Oreochromis niloticus: one gene and its partners. The protein of the gene in region 3 binds, or shares a complex with, the protein of the main gene of each other region. Links are inferred from orthologs where the notes say so. Each region holds a gene or a part of one and is shown on either strand. Other genes may lie near its edges.

The links.
Region 1: strip2 (region 3) and strn4 share a complex: the UniProt entries of both Homo sapiens proteins name them as parts of the core of STRIPAK complex. The link is inferred for Oreochromis niloticus from reciprocal best matches to the Homo sapiens genes STRIP2 and STRN4.
Region 2: strip2 (region 3) and serine/threonine-protein kinase 26 share a complex: the UniProt entries of both Homo sapiens proteins name them as parts of the core of STRIPAK complex. The link is inferred for Oreochromis niloticus from reciprocal best matches to the Homo sapiens genes STRIP2 and STK26.

The regions. Positions count from the first base shown.
Region 1 is NC_031979.2:21,854,517-21,861,596, reverse strand, and holds the start of strn4 (striatin-4), read left to right. Parts: upstream 1-4,039; 5' UTR 4,040-4,387; coding exon 4,388-4,708; intron 4,709-7,080. Other genes in the region: ribitol 5-phosphate transferase FKRP, read right to left, coding at 1,030-2,619. UniProt on the Homo sapiens protein: Calmodulin-binding scaffolding protein which is the center of the striatin-interacting phosphatase and kinase (STRIPAK) complexes.
Region 2 is NC_031967.2:37,422,263-37,429,736, forward strand, and holds the start of serine/threonine-protein kinase 26, read left to right. Parts: upstream 1-4,369; 5' UTR 4,370-4,654; coding exon 4,655-4,675; intron 4,676-7,474. Other genes in the region: zgc:77880 (palmitoyltransferase ZDHHC3), read right to left, coding at 1-26, 2,030-2,118, 3,170-3,390. UniProt on the Homo sapiens protein: Serine/threonine-protein kinase that acts as a mediator of cell growth. Modulates apoptosis. In association with STK24 negatively regulates Golgi reorientation in polarized cell migration upon RHO activation.
Region 3 is NC_031981.2:6,725,170-6,733,042, reverse strand, and holds the start of strip2 (striatin-interacting protein 1 homolog), read right to left. Parts: upstream 3,073-7,873; 5' UTR 2,914-3,072; coding exon 2,803-2,913; intron 1-2,802. UniProt on the Homo sapiens protein: Plays a role in the regulation of cell morphology and cytoskeletal organization. Required in the control of cell shape. Calmodulin-binding scaffolding protein which is the center of the striatin-interacting phosphatase and kinase (STRIPAK) complexes.

The DNA of each region.
Region 1 (7,080 bases), on a different chromosome or scaffold from region 3:
TTTACAAAATACATGAAACTGTTATTCTTTTATTGTAGAAGTACTTGAAATGATTTGACACCCTAATACATTAGATACAGGAAAAACTACAGAAATCATGTGGCAACCAGGGGAACTGAGTAGTATACTGAATTAAATTTCCTTTTCATAGTATTTATTAATATGTAATTATTTATTTGAATTCTAAGGCCTGGTAGAGCAATCGTCCATAACAGCATGAATGACACAGGTGTGCTTCTCATTTCATTAGATGGAAGTCTGCTCAGCTGCAGTTACCAGCTGGCTCTACCACAAACTAACATTCACTCATAAACTGAGACGTGCAAAACAAGGCAACAGAGTTCAAAAATCAGAAAATACCTGTTAGGCTAAAGCCACTTACTTAACACACACAAGTCTGTATAATACCTTAAATCCTGCTTAAGATAAAATACATTTTAATTTTAAAAAATCGTTTTTTTCAATTATCTACCTTTTTTTTTTTAAATTACAGCAGTAGTAGTTCAATGTTTCTGTACAACACATACACACCACAGCCTTATGTCAGTACACTAGTGTATGGATTTAAACTTTTCAAGTGTGTCTTTCAAACAAAACGCTACCGCTCAGGCAAATAAATAACGTGTGTTCAACATTAGACTTTACATCCGAACCACAGGAAGAACAATCTAAGCATGCAATACACCGTCTTCTGATACACATGTGGTGAAGGTAACAGTAAATGCAGTCGTTTTGGCACCGTATTAAACCTTTTTTCACACATGAACTCCAGAAAATGTTGAGACGATTAGATGTGGATGTCACACAGACACGAGGTGCTCGACCATTTACGGTCAGATAAGACTGTGTCGGACATTTGTGCTCTCACGTGAATCTCAGTTTGGTAATGTCTCAAAGCATTCAGGGCTGCAGTGCATGTGTGAAAATGGCTTTACTTTCCAGACAATATCTTTCACAGAAAATTATTTGAGGCAAGATTTTCTTTGTATGTAGGTAAACCTAAATGGGTCTGTAGCCCTCCGGTATGACTCATAATTTGCTTCTGTCCAGTCTCTTTTTTGCAGGGTTGGGATACTGGGGGTTCTCAATCACCCCCTCTCCAAATTTAAGTTCCAAAAAGGCTCTGTGGTTGTTAGGGCCATAGGCAGTGATGCCAGCAAAAGGCATGGGTACCAGTGGCTGCAGGAAGTGTTCTGGGAACTCCACATCTTGTTTATGTTCAGTCCACGTATCTTTGGTCATGACGCCATTACGTGGATAGAACGGCCAAAGGTCAACGTGCAGGTGGTTAGCCTCACTGTACTGGACCCTGTAGAAGTCTCCTTCCACCGCACGCTCCCACACATAGCCATTAGCATCCACCAGAGAGCCTGAGTCCAGGTTCTTTAAATGATCGCAGTTGGGTACATCCTCCAGGTAGATACCAAGGTCTACATCATAGTCCCATGGGATGATATCTTGATGGCGAACGGCGCCCAACAGAGTACCTCCCTCTAGCCAGTAGCGCACACCTGAGCTCTCCAAGATATTGATAACATACTTGGTGGTTTCCCTGAGTGCTCGCAGACAGCAGGGAGGTGTCCAGCGGTCCAGATACAGATAGTCTGGAGTGTCATCCTGCACAGTGCCAAAGCAGCGTGGTGTCTCTTTGCTGCAGCCGTACCACTGTTCCCTCCCATCAGGCAGCAGAAGACGCTTCAGACCAAAGCTCCTCATTAGATTCCCCGTGGCCTCCTTCAGTCGAGTGTCAGCCTTCCACTGGTTGTGAGCAGAGCTGAAGAGAGGCCGATGGTTTGCAGAGAAACAGGGGCCTTCCAGGAGTTTGACCTTCCAGCCTCTCAAAGAAGTCTGGATGAAGAGTGAGGAGAAGAGAGGCCGTCCAAGAGGGACAGAGAGGTTAAAAAGATCCTCGGTCCGAATGAGTACGACTGCATCTCCCTGTAAAGCTGTACATACACTCCCACTGCTCCCTGATGCAGCTGTTGAATAGATAGCTGTCCACTCTCTGAGGTTCACCCGCAAGTGGAGACACTGCACAGCAGATCGAGCCAATACGGGCGCAGCTACTAACCTCACAGGCCCTCCACCCTCTCCTTCCAACTCTCTGATTAACCTCTCAATAGCCCTTGGTTGCTCCAGCTCCACTCCATCAGGCACTAGCAGCACAAACTCTGTTTGCACATGAAACTCAGGCCTGTGAGCTTGTGGTGGTTGGTCTGGGCTGGGGGACAGCACAAGAAGCCGAGCACCCTCCGGAAGCGCCAGTGGAGGGTACGGTGATGTGTCAGCTACAGCCAGGAAGGGAAGCTCTGGCCTCTGGTGAAGGAAGGAATTAGCAACATCCCCGACATAGTTTTCAAAATGTTCAAATTCCCGAAGAAGAACAGTTACACGTGGGCCTCGACTGTGTCCCTCCACTCCAACCACTCCAGGCTCACCTCCAGCTCCTGCAAGTAACCCCCCGAGACCAGAGGCTGGTAGGGCAGCCCTTCTTGTGCCCCTGCCAAGTTCTTTCCTCTTCTCCATCATTTGCTGCTGGGCTCGGGACACATAATAGAGAATGAGGAGGTTGAGGATGATGGCGACAGTTAACAAGCCTTGACAGAAACTGATCCGCATGGCAACTAATATTTGCTTTGCAGTTTATTTCAGGAGAATAACTTAAGTTTGAATCAAGAAATCCAGTGGCTGGTCTCGGACCCCCATCAGTGTAACAGAGAGTCGCATGCAACCTGTAAATGACAGAAAAATGTTGCGTTTTGGTTCCAATACCACAGGCTTACGTGTAAATATAATGTATTGATCTGCATATGTATATCAAAATTCGCACACAGGATATTTAATTTAAACAAAGTAGTCAGTGAATGACCCAAGCCATAATCACATTCTTGTGGAATTAGGACATGACTGCCCCATGACAGGTTTTCTTTTATAAATAAAATATGTCTAGTTGCATTAGAAATGAATGAAAATAGGATAGTAGCAACTCACCTTCATCTGAATGCATCTGTTTTATTTCATATGAGACAATCGTTTGCAGGGCCATCATATCATTCAGAAGTTAACAGAGGCTTTACCAACGTTAAGCCAATTATGCCCGTTATGCTCGCTATATGTGGATTTCATGATGATCTTTTGGAGCTGGTAGCGTAGTAGCTACCGAGGTTGAATCGGCAGCGGCAAACACAGATATTAACTTGAGTTTAGCTCATATTTGTACGGCTGTGGAAGAAATAGTCTCCAATATTTTTGGAAGAAACTCACACTTAATGGTCAAAAGAATATTTCAAAAGCGCAAGGCTTAACACAATCCCAAACAAGAAACCCAGCTGCACGAATTTAGCATGAAGCTATCACGCTGTTGCCCGCAGCAACAGGACAACTTCCGGTTGGAATCCTTCAGAATAAAGCTATTCTGTCCAAATTTGGAAAAATCTATGAATTTAGCTATTTAATGAAAGGCACATATTTTACGCAATAACCGCTTCAGAGTTATCCCAGTTACCTGGCGTCTATACCTAATCTCTTACGTTTTAAAAGAAGAAAAACATATTGCTATAATATAAAATATAAGATATAACTACAAATGTTATTGCATACGTTATAAGGATATAAGCAATATAAAAAATATAAATATAAAGATGATATGAAGAAAAATTATAATTCACGTTAACTTGTTATATATTACAAATGTGTCCCCAAGGCTTTTTTATTGTTGTTTTTGGTCTATGGCTGTTTTCATTTCACAATTTATTCCCCCGCACCCACCCCCAAAAAAATCAAAGATAAAATCTCGACCGGAAATAGCATTGTTGATTATTGTAGCTAACTTTATCGTTCCCGAAACCATTCCTGCTCACAAAATGGCAGGAAATTCATTCCCCTAGCGACATATTCATTGTCTATTATAGAAAACATGGCCCTTTATTTGTCACCCGCACTGGGCATTTCACGAGGAGGAAACTGATCTGGGATCCGGGATATACAAAATAAGAGCAACAAAAAAAAAAGGAAAAAAAAGTTTACGCTTATTTTCAGGTGCATCACATTTAATAAACGCTGTCTGTTGTTACTTTATTTTGATGTTAGTTTTAAGACTGGACGTAACACTTTTTGTGAAAAGGGATTTGTTACAAAATCAACGGGGCAACGATGTTACACTGCGGTTAGATTGTGTTTTGCGCTGAAGGTTTGGAAGCGGAAGTGTATTATTTTACCAACAGAATAGTAATTTTTCTCTGTGCGTGTGAGAAAGGAAGAAAGGAGGGTAGCTTATAGTGAAGTGGAGCTGGGTTTGGAAAAGGGCACGGGGTACTTTTTTATATTTTTATTCGTCCATTCTGTCCGTTCCCATCTCATTATCCTGGCGAAAGGTTGAATAGTTAAAATGGAGGCGGACAGAACCGGCGGAGGATCTAACCCGAACTCCGGAGGCGGCGGCGGCGGCGGCAGCAGTGGAGCGGGGCGCAACCCAAACGGGCCTAAAGCAGGACCGGGCCAGGCGACATCAGCTGGTGGGACCGGGGCAATGGCAGCGGCCGCAGCAGCAGCCGCTGGGGCCGTCTCTGGACCGTTGCAGCAGTCACGGGAGCCGCAAGACGGGGAGTCGGGGATGACGCTTCCTGGGATCCTGCACTTCATCCAGTACGAGTGGGGACGCTTCCAGGCCGAGAAATACCGCTGGGAGGCTGAGAGAGACGAACTCAGGGTAAACGTATTCATCATTAAACCCGGGTTTATGTAGCTGTAACGCCAAGAAAGGGCCTGGAAGGATTTGACCGGAGCTCCTCCGGTGTCGCTTCGCGGATGTACACATGCCCTGCTATCGGTCAGTTAGAGGATGACAAAATGCTAATAAGCTAGCATTACAGTTGACCAGGATGCGTTATTACTAGACAGTAGATGATAATGTGGGAGCTGTTTGACCTCCAGTTGAAAGAAGCCACCAATACTCTTTTAAACATAAAACATTTTTGTGTTAAAAAAAAAAAAAATCTATAGATATAGATATATATATAAAGATATATAAAAATATATGCCTCCTGGGCTTCTAAGGTCGATACAGTCAATACAGATACACACCACAAGATTAGATAATAGACTTTTATGTCTTCCCGGAATAGCAAGCAAGCTATCGTGCAAATAAAAAGGTAGGCAAACAGTTTAGGTGTGGCTATCTTGTCTTTCCATATTATTTCATGCAGGTACACATGGAACTCACGCTTTCTGTCACACGTTATTTTAAGATTTTTGGCATTTTACTAGGATGTGCAAATACACGTTAGTTTGTAAGGAGACACTTATCTGATTTTTCGTACTCCACAGAGACAACTCAAGTGATCTGTGGGTGTGTTGTTGTGGTTAAAAAAATGATAACAGTGCTAACCAGCTGTGATTTCCCTTTGCAATTGCTGCATTCAAAATAATAAGTGAGTAAGCATTCCTTAACTGCCCTTACTTAAGACAATTCTCCCTAAAACAGTAGTTTGATTGCTGTAATACGTATTCATAAAATAATTTGCACAATGAGACACAATGATCAGTTTGACCTTTGAACTTAGGCACACAACACAACTAAGTCACACTGAGATGAAGTTCCTGAATGGATCATGCGTTGTGATCTGTAGTACCAATGCCTCCATACCTATGGCACACACACAAATTAGCATTTTGAGCTAGGACCAGTTACACACACACACACACACTCACACAGTCAATCAGTTGTGTGGTGTATCTGTGTCTATGTATATATGTATGGAGTAAAGTTGTATTTTCATTAACAATGATTAAAACATGAGTATTGATAAATAACAAGTGTTAGGATGAAAATTTGTAGTTGTCTATCTGCAGCCAAACTTGCGTTTGTATATTTTATCTTTACTTTGTATAGTGTGTTATTAGTGTGTGTATATAATGACCTTAAAAACAATATATCTGCCTATAGGCTAGAGAAGTGGACTATCATCCTTAAAGGTAAATGGTTTAAAGCTGTAAAATGCCCCCCCTAAAAAAAAAAAAACGAATGTGAGCTTGTGACTCTGTGCCATAGGAATTCCCATGAGCAATACCTGAGTTCCCTGAAGGTCCTAGTTATTCAGATGCCAACAGCAAAAGACAGACGTTGTACTATTCACCTCATCTGCATGCATAAAATTAAAAGGCAGAGCAATACTGGGCAAGTTTGTGCATACTCATCAGATTTTTCCAGGATTAAGAAAAGTTAGGAAAACATACAAACATATTTTAACTCTGCGTTTGGACAGTTCATCTTTTCATTTGTGGTTATCCCTCAAGTAACTACAGTGTTTTTGGTAATAAGAATGAACTCCCCTCTTGAGTTCATGAGTTTGACAAAACCACAGGAAAAAAACCCTCAAAAAACCATAAAATTTCCCTCTCCTCTGTCATTGTGCTTCTCACATTGCCCCTAACTCAAACATACATAGTTATAAATAGTGGCTTGATAAAATATGAATGAACAATAACAAACGGGCAGCGCTTGCTGCTTTTATAAAAACGAGGGATGAGTGGGAATGGAAAGCAGAAACAGCGGATTGCTGTGTCCGAGGTGCTATTAAGTGCTTGTTATGGAACTTTGTTTGCGTTTGCACATTGGCTGCACATGGTCTGGCTTCACGGGTACAATTAGCACCACGCTTGTGCTGAGAGAAAGAGAAGATAACTGGAGTGCCATGCTGAAAAACTGACCTAGCTTACATTTTAACACCCACAGGCCAAAGGCCTCTGGCTTTTGTTGCCAACTTGCTTGCAGCTCTCCTCTCACTGAGCCAGTTATTGTGCCCCCTGGTCATAACCTGAACAGTTAACATGCTGTAAATGTTTCCATAGTGTAGTTTGCTCACATGTTGCCTGCACATGGTATTTTACACACTTTATTTTCAAAGGCTTTACTGAGTCACATGCAAAATTAACTCACAATCACTTGAGATCTGTGTGACTTTGTGTGCAACCTAGTAGATCTCTTCATGTGGAGCTTAGCATGTCTCTGCGAGATCACGACACGTGTGCCGCTACTGTGACCGTGTTGGTGTGTAAAGCCACCTGTGGTGCTGTGTCTTC
Region 2 (7,474 bases), on a different chromosome or scaffold from region 3:
GGCCGTGTCAGGAAGAGGCACCATACCTGAACACACAGTCACAAAAGACATTTGTTTGGATGTTTCCACCCAGAACCCACAGTGTGTGTTTTCCTTTTTCTGTCCTCGACAGAGTGCGTTTTCCCTACTCTCGTTTTGTTTATTTATATTTCTTCCACAATAGTCGAGTGGTGCACCTAAAATTTCACTGTATACATATAATGACAATAAAGAGCTATTCTATTCTAATTATGGACTTCTTTTTGTTGCAGTCAACCTTAGCGTACCTCTTTGATTCCTAGGGCAACTTTGTGTACTAAGTAGAGATGCACAGATAGATGCACAAGGGCCAAACACATGTATGTGCTGATATTATCAGTTGTTTCAAATGGCTTTAGTTATTGTGCTTAATCCTGACTTAAAAAGATGGACTAGCAGTGAAAAGTTGACCCTATGTTTTTGTGAGCTGAATGGAGAAAGAAATTATGATGAAGAGCTGAAAAACTTTCAAAGAGCAAAGTTAGTAGTTTATAAAACGATATCTGCATTACCCTGAAACAAAGGGAGACTGCTACCAGCCCTGAATGTCTCTAGTGCAAAGCTAAAAAGCAACACTGGGCGAAACCAAAGCTTTCCTTTTTTAAAAAAAACCCCAAAACTTAAGCTTAAAGAAGTCATCTTGCAACAAGCGCCCACATTTGAATCTGGATTTTATCTGCCTTGCTGTCCACATCTTTAGCACCACTCACAATTTCCAGGATTGTAAAACTGATCTAGATGTTTTCCTGGACATGTGCAACCTTGGCTGGTTGAGATCTGAATAGTAAAAGACAAACAGAGTAATATAGCGTACGCAGTTAAGTGCCAGGAGGATTGCCATGATTTATACATCGGGGAAACCAAACAACCTCTGGTGAAGTGGATGGCACAACACAGAAGAGCTACCTCGTCAGGCCAGGACTCTGCAGTCTATTTACACCTACAGGCCAGTGGACACTCTTTCAATGATGAGGATGTACACATCCTGGACAGGGAGGAACGCTGGTTTGAGCGCGGAGTCAAGGAGGCCATTTACGTGACAAAGGGAAAGACCATCTCTGTATCGAGGAGGGGGGCCTAAGGGTACATAATTCGCCATTTTACAATGTTGTGATTGCAGCCATTCCCCAACATTCCCCCCTGTGAATGGCCATTGATTAGTGGTCTTTGATGAATGGTAATGAGAAATGGTATATACAGTTGTCCCTCGTTTATCGCAGGAGTTACGGTCTAAAACTAACCTGCCATAGGTGAAATCCGCAAAGTAGCCAACTTTATTTTTTACAGTTATTATAGATGTTTTAAGGCTGTAAAACCCCTCACGACACACTTTATACACTTTTCTCAGACAGGCATGAACATTTTCACACTTTTCTCTCTTGTTTAAACACTCTCAAAGTTCAAACCTTCTAGAAAAATAAGTCCAGTATTATCGAATGAAACCAAAGGCACCTGCAGATGACGATGTTTCGTCGACATTCTTGTGTTTGTTGGGGAGAAAACTTACAAACATACAGTACAGCACTTCAGAGTCACACGGCTAGCGATCGAAGATTTATGTAAATTTGACAAGCTGAACGCATTCTGAACTGTACAGGAGACATGGCACGGAAGAGATTGACTGACAATGGTCTACAGCCAATCAGGACACAGAACACAATGCGCTGTAAAAACAACAACAAAAAAAACATAAAAACAGCGAGAAACAGCGAGGTTGCGAAAGGTGAACCGTGTTATAGCGAGGGACCACTGTAATGATCAAGGAACTGACCTCCGAGTCCATTGTTCCTTCAGTGGTGAGCAAATGTACTGTTTATAAAATTGGGGAAACCTTCAGTCAGCTGAGACTGAAGAAGTTGCTTGGATGAGTGACGAAACATTTTTCCCCCTGAAAACGCTACGTCCAGATGAACAGAATCAACTTTTTGGTGTGTAAAAGACTTTAACTTTATGAAAGCTAAATCTGACACACTGTGTGTGTGTGTGTGTGTGTGTGTGTGATTTTACTGACCAGGATCTGAGAAGACAGCTTTGGAGTGGCAGGCAAGCAGCAGCAGCAGAATGAGGTTGAACACTGACCCGTGGAGAGTACACCACACACTGTCAGAGACACAGAAGAGACATGCGATTATTACACTTCCTCATTTAATCTTCTTAGGAGAATTTTATTTTATTTTATTTAGATAACGCCAATTCACTACAGCAGTCACCTCTGGGTGCTTTATGCTTAAGGTAAAGACCCTACAGCAGTACAATGATAAAAGTCATCAGAGCTTCAGTGAGTCCACGGTACATTTAAATATCCTATAAATGAAGTTCATGATCACAAAAGACAAAGAAAAGCTGATATTTTTTGCATTAAACTACAACTTAACTGAGCATAAGTTTCTCTGAAGGGGCTGGATGACTGCTCTGTAACTTTGACAACTTTACAATTTTAATAAAATACGTTTTACAGCAGAAATATTAGTCCTCATAAATGTCTCCTTTGCTTCTAAATAGTCCTGGTTACATCCAATTTCATATAAAACTGTACAAAAATAAGCACAAAGCACTACATTTGACTGAAAATAAGAGTAAAAATAAATAAACACATACACAAACAATTTTGTGACGCTAACCTTTAAAATATTTGGGTGAAAATTGAGGAAGTGAGCCCATCTCAGCTCAGGAACGTCTGAATTTGACATGAAGACTTGGTTAACGGAGTTTTGAATTTAGGACGAATTAAAGAGCAACACTCGTTGGTTTAGGAAAAGCTGTGATTCTGGTTCTAAAGAGGATTTTTAATCTCAGACAGGCAGAACAACTTTAAATTACCCAAAATTTTGAACGACAGCTGGACTCGTCAGCTCCAGAGCAGGCTAATGAAACGCCTCAGCTACGAAAACAAACTGAAAGCCACCTGTGATGGAGCGCGAGCCCGGTAACAAAAACCGCCAAAGACGTGAACGGGAACGCGATTAAAGCCACATTACAGTGAGAACAAACGAGATTTGATTCAGTTTGACTGAGCTGAGGATGAAATCGTGAGGATGCCGTTACTGTTGATCTGTTTGCTGTCAAATGAATGAAGGCAGAGCAGAGAGGCGGGCGACATGTTGAAGGATTTTTTACGGATTTAAAATGCGCGAAAATACAAAACACCCACCTGTCCGAGTACGCGGGGATGAGCACGTACTGTATGACCACATAGTCCGCATAAAACACGCTGAAGTAAGTTAAAATCAGGCAGATAACGCCGCAGGGATCTCGCCTACAGCGAAGAAACGCCATCTTCTCCCGGGCTCCACCCCCCGTCCCCCGCTTCCGGGTGACGTCAGATGGAAACTTCAAGCCGCCTTCCAGGACCGTCGAGAAAAGGAGATTCATGTTTAAAGGGCCAGTTTATCTTGTTTTTCTTTGTCTTCAAAAGAGATTAAATAACATTTGACTCAACAAATAACTCTTTTGCTCTGTTGTTCCTTTATTGATACACTTAAGCAGGAGAGCCTTCAGTTTTCAGACCTCTCTTCTGTGGAACCAGCTTCCAGTTTGGATTCAGGAGACAGACACTATCTCTACTTTTAAGATTTGACTTAAAACTTTCCAAGCATGGCTAACTCCCAGGTATTAATCCCAGGGTTGTGGATTCAAGCCCCACGTTAGGCACTCCTGTTACATATTTTTACTTAGTAAATATTAGCGTTTTAGCATTAGCATTTTAATAATACACTATATAGTTTTATATAGTATAAAAGGGTTTTAATAAACCATATAGTTAGGGTTGGATCAGTTGACCCTGAATATTCCCTTAGTTACTCTGCAATAGGTCTGTGTTGCTGTGGGATTCCCACGATGCACTGTTTCTTCTTCAGGCACCTTTTTTCACACACTGTATATTTAAACATTTGTTGATATGAATCTCTGGCTCTCTTCCACTAACCCTTAACAAGCTGCATCAGAAGACCGCCCCTCCCTGAGTCTTGTTCTGCCCGAGGTTCCTTCCTGTTAAAAGGGAGTTTTTCCTTCCCACTGTTTCAAAGCATCTACTAATGGGGGTCATCTGATCATGGGGATTTCTTTTTAAATCTTACCCTTCAGTCTAAAGACCTCAAAGTGCCTCCTGTTCTAAATCGGTGCTATATAAATAAAATTAAATCGACCTGAACCGAGGTATCTAATGAAGTGGCCGGTAAGTGTGGGCAGCTGTCAATTCGAAGCAGATTTGGACTTACACCTGAAGGCAGCATGAACCACAGACAGGAACAGTTATGATCAGCAGGTGGCAGTAGAGGTGTATGCGAAGCTGATATTCACACACCGTCGCTCCTCCCTTGAAGGAGGCAGAAACCTGCGCGTCATCCTCTCCGTCCACTTCTTCTTCTGTGCTCACTCTGTCACTGTGTGTTTGTAGTTTGTTCACTTCAGCCGCCTGCAAGTTAAACCGCCGTTCCCCTCGGATACAGTTCTTTCACTTCGAAGTCAAAACTGTCTACTTATTTCTCTTTCGAGAGCTTTGTTGTATTGTGAAGAAGCTCGACGAGGATTTTTAAAAATATATATATATAAAGAAGAAGGCAGGAGTCAAAGAAGGAGGAGGATAAAAAGTGACAAACCTGGAGGAGGAACAGGGCGTTCATACTTCGAAGTAACCATGGAAGTTCCTGGTATGCAGGTAAGGAGGAAGGTGGACGTGCTGCTGCTGTTGCTGCTCTTCTCTGGGTTTTTAATCGTCTTCATAGGGAAAACTGGAGCTGGTTTTTATGAGAAGTGGAGGGGAGATTGTGCAACTGCTTCATGTTTCCTTTCTTTGTAAGAGTGATTACCTGTTGTGTATTTGAGCCATAGAAACACACTAACATACAGCACTGTGTATTCAAATAAACAGACATAGGTCTCCACACCCAGTAAAAAAACATTAGGGAACAGTGACTTCTCAGATCTTGTCTAGCTGTGGAAAATGAGTTTATGGTGAAAATCTCACATAGTGTTATCATATTACTGCACATCATATTACTAATGATGTGCATTTCTACCTGATTATTCGACCTATAATGTACATGTGCTGACTCATTAAGTGATGTAGCTTCTCCAGATTGTGGCTGTGAAATGAAGCTACACTTGTGTAAAATGTGGCTTTGGTTCCTTAAATTGAGCTAGCTTTTATTTTATGATGTTTAAATCCCTTACATTTGGGTGTTATATTTACATAGTTGCTCAATACCTTGCTCAATCAACCTTAGGGTGTTTATATCTATAGTAAGTGTAATTCCAATACTTCTGTAGCAGCTTATATCATAACTTCTCAAAGTTTAGTTTACAGGGCCTTTATATCTTGATGTGACCTATAGTGTGGATTTAATGACCTATAAAGTTATTTAGCTTATTGAAATTGTGAGGTTGTGGTATTTTTTTTTTTTTTTATCATTTAAAGTGTACTCATAATGGAACTCTGAGGCCATAAACTGAGTTTCTTTTTATTTTATGCTGTTTAAATCCCTTTAAAGTTGGGTATTTGCTTAATAATGTGACTAAACTTCTCCAAGTCGACTTCATTGTAACCTTAGGTTGTTTATATCTATAAAGAGTATAACTATAATACTTCTATACTAGCTTATATTGTGACTTTGGTGCTCTAAGTTTAGTCTAAATTTTGAATTGAAGCTGTTTATGTTGCATCAAGTGCCCCTACAATACACATTTATAGCGAGTTTAAGCTTATTTTAGAGTGTTTAAATCTTTTAAATGCAACTGTAATCTTCATAGAAAGATTTATAAACTGACTCGGCTTCTATAAAAATAAGCTTACAGTAACTTCTTAGGATGTTTTTGTGACTTCAAGGGTAACTGTAATACTTGCATACAAGCTTGTACACTTAGTTTAGAGTGACCTTATCTCTTAATGTGACCTATAATGTGTGCATGATGATTTATAAGGTGAGCTTTGTGAAATAGCGAATTTGTCGTGTTTATACAATTTAAAGTGTACCCATGATGTCTCTCTGGTTCCCTAAAACTAGTTTGATTTTATTTCATGGTGTTCACATCTCTTAATGTGAACTAATATATATCGATATTATCTCATTATTGAGTTTACTGTATGTTCAAGGTGGTTATAGCTGTAAAAGTGTGACTACAGTGTTTCTGTAGTGGCTTATATTTTGGCTTTGTTGCTTCATATTTAGTTTACAGTGTCTTGTAATGTGTCACGATGGCTTGTGTTGTGACTTTGTTTTACCAACCCGAGCTGAAGTGTGACTCTGTGGTTTACATACCGTCTGATATATACATGCGATGAATTACAGTGTGACTCTGCTGCTCTAAAAATGAGTTTATTTAACTCTCTTGTGTATTTAAGACTTAAGACTTCTAAAAAATCCAGTTATTGTGACTTAATGTGCTGCTTGTAATCCAGGCACACTTTATGATAACAAAATGTATCTGCCTCTTATCACATCCATATATTTAGTTATCATCAGTCTGATATCGCAGACTCACATTACATTGACCTTAATTCTCCTGAACCTGACTTATTTTCTGATTATATCAGTTTTGTGTTTATGTAATGTTTCCATAGTGACACATTTTATAGGCCTCTGTCTTTATCTCCTCAATGATGTGAGCTATGCGTAACCCAAAGGTGTGTCTATCCTTCATGATTTCCCGTAACACTCCATGTGTTAATGACCTATTCTGTATCTGTTGCTCGGCAGCATTGGTTGATATCTTTTATAGGACATCCATTACCTTTAGTCTAGTCTAAAATCTACTCCGGGATCATGCTTTCCGTTGGAAGTCGTATTGGAGGAAACTCTGCAGGTATGCCAGACTTGTGCCAGTAAGAAACAAAAGGTGTGTAACATGAATTAGAAGCGTGTAAAAGCCTCCAACCTGTTGCTCAGCCGGCTTTCAGGTGTGTCTACCTGTGGGACTGGCTCGCCGTGTCTGCTCTGTGCATCCCAGGTGGGCGGGGCCACAAATGGTGTCACAGGCTGCTTACATCAACACACCTGACGCCCGGCACCGGCTGCCGCAGCATCGAGGCAAACAGCGAGGTTTGCTGCCAGTAAGAGCAATGATGCATAGTGGAAAGTGCTGTGCAAGACTGGAGCTACCTGATCAGTGGATTAGGTGACAGGAAATGTATTAGTTGTTGGGTAGTTATTCTTTTAAGCATAAATATCAGTTATGGTGGGTTTCAGATCACTTTTAAAAATACAATATTATATATTTGCTTATGTGGCTGGAAATCTTTTTAAGCAGATGATAGCCAGTGGGGCCCAAGAGTATGTATTGTTGGCCTAAATCTATAAGTAACTTTGCCACTTTGGTCTCTGGTAGCTTAAAGGTGATATAAATATTTTTTATATTATGGAAGAATTGAATCGCTAAGTGCGTTAAAAGGGTGCTAGTTATATTATAACCACTCGGAAATAACACCAGAATTTGTAGTAAAGATGAAGGTACCTAGCAT
Region 3 (7,873 bases):
ATTAACATTATTCATCATTAATAATTAAACAATGCATAAAATTCCTATGATTACTAGTTTTCTTAGTCAATAAAATAATTGTTTACAACATTAAGTGTAACCAAACAGCCTTAAAACTGTCAGTTCATTTTAAAATTGCTAAATTAAGACATGTATGAACCTGCAAAAATTTCCTAGATTACCTTTATGCAGAAGAATATACAAAAATTCAAGAAAAACAACCCAAACTGTTTAGCTTACACTGAAAATTGTGTGATCATGCAAGAGCCCACTCCTGAAAGTAAAAGTGATTGAGGCGACTTGTTTTCAAGGCCTTTAACACTTTCACTTAGGCTTAATTAGCCTTGATAAATTACTTAAATAGATGATATTACTGAGTCTCTTAGTCCCTCAGTCCTCCATTGGCATCCCTGAAACTGAAGTTAACTCCTCTGCCCAAACCGAAATGACATGTCTCTTTCTGTTTCTCTTTAATTCTCATGCCTCTCCTCTCTCTTCCTCGTCTGCTGCTACTCTTCCATTTCTCCTTACAATTACCCAGTCTCTCTCTTCCACTCCTTCATTTTCCCCCCTGTTCACTCTCGTTCACTCCTCTTCTCTTTGCCGCCAGCTGATAACCAAAATCGCCCCGGCTCCAAACTGAACTGGCACGGCTCCTGTGTTTGCACGCTCTACACCGCATCAGCGTGCAAACACTGGGCGCAGTGTCAAGGCTGAACGCCCCCTCTCCTACCAACATATGCCAACATGGACATGACCACTCCAGCCAGCAAAAAAGACAAACAGTTCACGTACACGACGGAGTCAGGTTTGAGGTTCCTGGTTCAACTGTAGAGGCCAGGGAACCTCATTCACTCACCCCCAACCCCCTATCCCACAATCCAACGACTGTAAGATGAATATGCTCTAATTCCCCCCAAAAACATTCAGCGTCCTCTTTCAAAGCACTCTGAATGGTTTCGGCTTCAACGCACTCTGAGTAACATCTCTTATGTATCTGGACCGAGTAACCCCACCAATGAAGCCCATCAGCTAGTAATTTTTTCATGAGGAGGATGAATTATAGCTGCCGAGCACTGAGGGAGCCTTAACAACAAGCCTCGCCAGCGTCATGTTTAGAAATAGCGGAGGAGATTACAGCTTACAGGTCCATATTACAGAAGGTGACTCCCATAAGCAGTCTACAGTGGCTCTAAACACTCTTTAAACCACAGAAAATATGCTTATACCCCAGACCTATGGGACCGCCTCAGTCTTTTTATCAAAAAAAGGATACTGCAATGATGTAAAAAAATTGATTTATTGGCTGATTCCAATATACACCCAGCAGTTCAAACACAAACTCATACTGGATTTGCAGGTACAAATTTTTAGACAGTAAAAAGGCTCTAATATCAACATATTAGTCAATATTCTATTTATATACACTTGCTAGCTACTTCAAGGATACCTGTTCAACAGCTTGTTTATGCAAATAACTAATCATCCAATTACGTGGCAACAAGTCAATACATTCAAGTCGGCCTGCGGAAGTTCAAACTGAGTATCAGAATAGTGAAGAAAGGTGATAATCAACTGGGATTTCTACTGGGATCAGCATCTTTGCTGCTGAAGCAGCAGAAGAGCACAATGGGTCCCACTCCTTTCGGTTAAGAACAGGAAACTGAGGGTACAATTTGCACAAGCTCCCTAAAATCAGGCAGAAGATTGAAAAAAAAAAACATTGCCTGGTTGGATGAGTCTCGATTTCTATTGCAACAGGGTTGATATTTGCTGCAAATGACATCAAAACATTGATCCACCCTGACTTGTAGCAATAACTCAGAAGGCAATTATAGTCTAATAGTCTAGGGAGATCATTTCTTGATGCAGTTTGAGTTAAAATACAATCTTATTTATATAAAACCCATTACAAATTGAAACTTTCTAACTCACAACGTTTAAGCTGACTACATATTTTCATCATTCATGAATCTCTTTTTAAAATATTTTTTTACAATAGATGTAAAAAAAAAAAAAATGATGTAAATGATAACAGCCTCCAGAGATAGCTAGAAGGCAGAGGAGGGCACCTGCTGGTGATATGCACGGGACTGGAAACAACTGTACATTTAGTGGGATTGTAGCATCCAGATTAGGTCTCTGAACCTTCCCAAGCATTCATATATATCCCAAACAACTCTATATTTGTGACAGGCCAGTATCAACTTATTATTGTGCCACCAGTATATCATTCATACTGTAGTTCAAACCTCAAAGATTTTAAATTTGCACATATTTTATTTTCTGGTAGCCACTTTTATTTCAGTTCCCAAGAAAGCGTACTAAACCAAATCCCTCCTCTCACAAAGATACCAAATAAAACCAATAAAGGCTCATCTGAGGGGCAGGCGGACTGCCAAAAACTGATCCGATTCTCTGATTGATTAAATGGAGGATGCACTCCAGATGCCAAAAGGACACCACGAGGACATAAATATGATATGCAGTTACGTTCGGTGGTCCTGGGAGCAGCAGTCACATTTCACCACCTGCAGTCCCCCACGCTGAGCACCGCTGTAGGATTACTGCTGGGTTATTTATAGGAGCCGCTGCCAAAATAACACCTCGCCGTCTGCCCGCATGCATGCAGGCATGCTCTCGAGCCAAGACGGCGACTCGCTGCATGGAAAGGACATTCAGCTGATCTGAAAGCTTCCCAGCAACGACACACACATTCACACACACGTACGCACACACAGCCGTCCAGTGCGCTCCTGTACCAGGAGCTGTGGGAGCCCGCTGTGCTGTACTTGGATTTACCTCTGACTCCTTCTGCTGATCCTTGAACACATCTTTCCCTTTCGGCCTCTGTCTGTCGCCGTTATCGTTAAGGTTATTAATGATAGGTACCTCCATGTCCTCCGTCTGCATCTTTCACGGTCGGCTCGGCTCACTTCCTCCTCATCCGCGGATAGTGCATACCGGTCCGGTGGACAGCTCAAGACTGCACCGCGTCAGGAGGGGGGGACCGACTCCGGAGAGCGAAGTTGAGGATCTCCTCCTCCTCCTCCTGCTGCTGTTGAGACTACCCCCCCCCCCCCCCCCCGATATGTTTGATTCGCTGTCCCTGCTCGCTCCGAGAGGGCGGAGTTAAAGAGAGGCGCATCAGCTGACCACATGGAGCCAAAACGATGTCAGTGTATTAAAGTGGAGGTTGAATGGCTCAAAGTATTAGAAGCACCTTCATCTTATAAAAATAACTGCTGCATCCCTGGGCGACCCTTTGCTGAGTTGCCACACAGTCTGCCGTCAGCTGTGATGTCACTGTCGAAGATCACTTCATATGTGTGCATCTTCATTTATCATTTCACCTCCTGTCACTTTCCCCTGTGAATTATTGATATGCGGCTGTGAGGGGATTGTCCTGCAGACTGAAACACACACAGCCCCCTGACTGTGGAAAAACCACTTAAGATGACATGATTGGAGTGAACAGTTCAGAGCAGGCTTGAGCCACATGGCTGGGGCCATGGGGGAGGTGAGAGAGTTCAAGGTTAAATAGTAATTTACTGGTGGTTAAATCCATCGCAGGCCAAGTGTAAAATCAGCAGACCCAACAAAGGAGCTGGTCTACAAAAACACAGTGATGTGAGGAACTCTCGAGCAAGGCAGAGGAGCAGCGGTAACTTGTCTAAATGTAACTCAAGTAGACTCACTTTCATAATGGTATGTGATTCCAGTTGATGGACGATTTCTTAGGAAGGCAAATTGGATTTATCAAAAACATTAACTGTTTAGTTTCATGGTAGCAGACTTATGACAAACTGCAAAGTACCTACAGACAGTGTTCACAAGGACAAGGTTTCCTATTTTCTGTTATAAATTCCAGACTAAAGTACAGGTTTGGTCCAAAAACTATCCCAATGGTATCATCAGGGTTCATTTCTCTTAAAGGTGGGTCAAGGCAGCTTCAAAAGGCCTGACTATAGACTGTATGTAAAAGATGGCAGACAACAGTGGCGGATCTATTCAGGATTTGTAGTCACATGACAGATGTAACATTAAGTTGTTCGTTGTAGGGTTATGTGAATAAGGCTCCAGTCAACAAACCTAGAGACCAGTTGGCAACTACTGGCTTTATATAGAATATAAAAATGTCTATTCTTTGGTTGGGAAATGGTTGGTTAAATAAATGTTAATAATGAGTCCTCATTGTGTATTACACTAGCATGAATGCAGTGTAGTAAGAAGCAGCAGTCAGTTTCAGAGCCACCCCTGTGAAATTAATGGTGTCAGTCTGGCTCCACCACCGTGCCCACTTCAGGCCACCCTCTCCCTCCACCTTAAGCACTACAGATTTGTCACAGTGACACTTCATATAAGAAACTAAGCTTATACATTACTGTTGTAGCACCCAAACCAAACCTCATTTTAAATGCTTCAAAAGAAACAAGCTGAAATAGAATGTAAATAGATTATAGTGTAACACACATACAATATGATTCTATTTAAAGTAATCTGCTCACATAAACTTGACTAATGTTTCTAGAATAAATAGAGGCTCAGAGCCAGCTCGGCTCGGCTGATGTCAGAGATGTCCCCGTCTGATTGCTGCTGGCTCAGATGAGCTCACTGTGGCTATGACAGACCTCAACAGCTGCACGTGTCTTCTTCCACGGCACATAAATACAACTAGAAACCAATCCACAATGACACAACACAGGCTGTGACATTAAAAAAAAAAACTCTCTATATGTGAACACACTGGGTGACTGTGTATTAAAAGTAGCAGAAATAAAGCAGCACACAAAGGAATAACTTTTTTCCCCATTTTTTTTTATTCATTCAGATTACAGAATTTTGTCATTATTGCTTATCATCTAACATTATCACTTGCAATATTTAAACATAGGGTTTATCTTTTCTTTATTAGACAACTTAAAACATGTTGAATTTTTGTCAGTTTGAACAGTATGAGGATTTACAACAATAAATACAGGTGTCGATTCTTCTTTTACCTTCCTATACTTTTAAAGGTTGTCATATCTGCATATAGTATGTATATACATCTATGATGCTGGTGTCTTCCCCCGCCTACCCGGTCAGCAGAGCGCTGACGGAAAAACAAAACGGTTTCTCCACCCCTAACGCACAGGCTAGGATCCTGAGGCAGCTGGTAACAAAGCAACTATGGCCTACAAAACAGAAAGGATGCTTACAAATACAGAGAGACTTTTAGATGTGCACCGTCGTCGTCATCTCGCTCGTTCACACGCGCGCACAAAAGGAAGAAAAAAGAGACTTAAGACAAAAGGTTTAAGTACTACAGACAAGCAGTCAACAACATGAAGAGACGGATGAAAGGGACTCAGTATAGAAGTTTGACTAAAGGGTTCCCATATTGTTCTTATTTTTGCCTAAAACAAAAAAGGAACAGAGTTTTATTTATTTATTTGACCAAAATTTCAATAGATGCATGAAACCTTGTCAAATAGGTTGTACGAGCCCTCTCAGGAACCCTTCAAAATAAAATGCTGAACTACTTGATTAAACTGACCTGCAAAAGCATACTTGGACTTTTAGAGAGCAGACTAACTTATTCAACTGGTAAACAAAGTTTTTTTTGTGCCACTTCCACCTTTTCAAAAAATAAAACTTTTAATGTTACCTTTCATATCTTGTACGATACAGTAAACTTTCAGACTTGGGTAATGAGCCACTCTGTGTGCGTTTGAGCCTAGTGTGTGAAAGCAGAGCTGGCGGCGTCTCGCAGCACGTCAGAAGAGATTGTGATCGGTTCAGGTGCAGAGCCAGAGCCGGTGTGGCGGCGGGGTACACTTCAGGTGAAATCACTGTCAGGGCTTTTCTAATTTCAAATGTCAGCTCAGCTGGGGACGAGCTGCAGAGGATGGCGACCGTGCAGCTCATTACAGCCGTAAGAAAGACAGACAAAGAAAGAAAGCGCCTTCCGGGTGGGAGAAAAGGCGGAAATGGACCTGAAAGGCTAGTGCACGTCAGAGATGTCGTGTGCGTGCCGTCTTTCATTTGTAAGCTCAACTCATCTGTGAGTACCAAAGAGTTGTGTCATCTGATTATGGCAAATACAGTAATTCTTAACAGCACCATGTATTTTACTGAGGACCTGACAGAAGAAATCTGCTTAATGGGACAGCTCACCTCACAGTCATTTATTAAATAGATTTTCCTGGCATTTAGTGTTATTTTATCCACAATGTACACTGCACAGACAGAGATGTATGCTGTAGAGGCGTCTGCCTTCTCTTAAATATAATGGAAGTGGGGTTTCGCTTAAAGCTGTAACTCAGAAATACTGTTGGCCTCCTAGTAGATGCAACTATGGTATCAAGTTAAAAATCATACATCGTTTCATTCTCTCGCATTCACAAACCTGGGTGTCTACACCGCCCACCCAGCAGGGTGTGGGTAAAAATCTCATCTTGTTGTTGGTGGTTTCATGTAGGAACTATTTTATTTCTTCTATCTACATCTGCCAAACAAACAGCTCAGGGGACAGGGGGACACCCATTAGTGTTCACACCCGGTCACAAGAATGAGCGTTATGAGTGAGAGGGTGGTTTTAATTCAGCAGGAAGGAAACAGTTCCTACATGAAGCTGCTCACAATATTTGGGTGGGGTTTTGTTCCTTTATCTTGAATAGCCGGAGCATAATTTTGCGAAAGTGACACTGCTACCTAGTTTCAAATCGATTTTTTTAATGCGCCAAGAACCAGAAGAGAAGGTAATGCTTTTTAGTTCCATGACGTTCAAGAGAAGGCAGATCCAAACAAAGCTACAACCTACATTTGAAAGAAAACAAACAAACAAACAAACTACATTTGATTTTTGAGGTGAGCTGCTCCCTTAAGTACCAGGGTGGCTGCGTGTTTGGTATTTCTGTAAATATTTTCTCACAGTATTTAAAACGAGAGTTCGAGTATATTTATTACACGCATCATTAGAACATTATACTGCAATGATATTAGAGGAGAGGAAATAAACGAAAGATAGAAAAATCTTTTCTGTATAAACATCTAAATATACAGTATACCCTCGTGATGATCCAAAAGCCTGCCATGCTTCTACTACAGTATTCTTGTTTAAGTGAAGGACCAAATAAAAATACTTTTCATTACTTCAACACTGGCGTCGCTAGAGCAGGTGAGAAAGAAGAGCAGCGAATGAGATGGTTTCACTGTGGGTTTGAGTGACAGGTGTTTGGGTGAGGGGGTGGCGGTGGTCACCCTCCAGTCATGTTTTAAAAAACAAAGAAAGAAAAACTACAGGGTGACCCGTAGCGACATAAGAGCGTAATAAGAAAAAAAGCTTAAAAACAGACAATTCGCAATCAAATAAAACGATATGATTGGACCCTGAGACCCCCGCCTAAACCCTCAGTCTAGCCCCACCCGTCCCACCCCAATAATACACAAAAAAGAGAAGAAAAAAAATCACAAGTAGAAAAGAAAAGACGACAAAAATAAGGGACAGGAAAAATTGTCCGACACAAAATAAATCTTCAAAGGTGGTCTTCATTCACACAGTTTTTTTTTTGTTTGTTTTTTGAATCAAATTTTTTTTTTAATATAGTATATATCTTTAGCTTCAGTAATTTCATATTTAACAGATAAACGATAAAAGATCTGGCAACGTGGAAGGGAGGATGGAGGGTTTACATACGACTCGACATACAAATGAGCGTCTGAAGAGGACCGGGTGGAAATGATTAAAAATGACGAGTGAGAGGGAGACGAGGTTTGGGAGCTAGCTCGAGGTGAATGGCAGGAGCAGCTCCGAGGTGTAGTTAATGTTATTATTGTTATTATTACTGTTATCAGGCAGGGGATAAATAAAACGACTGCCATAAGCAGG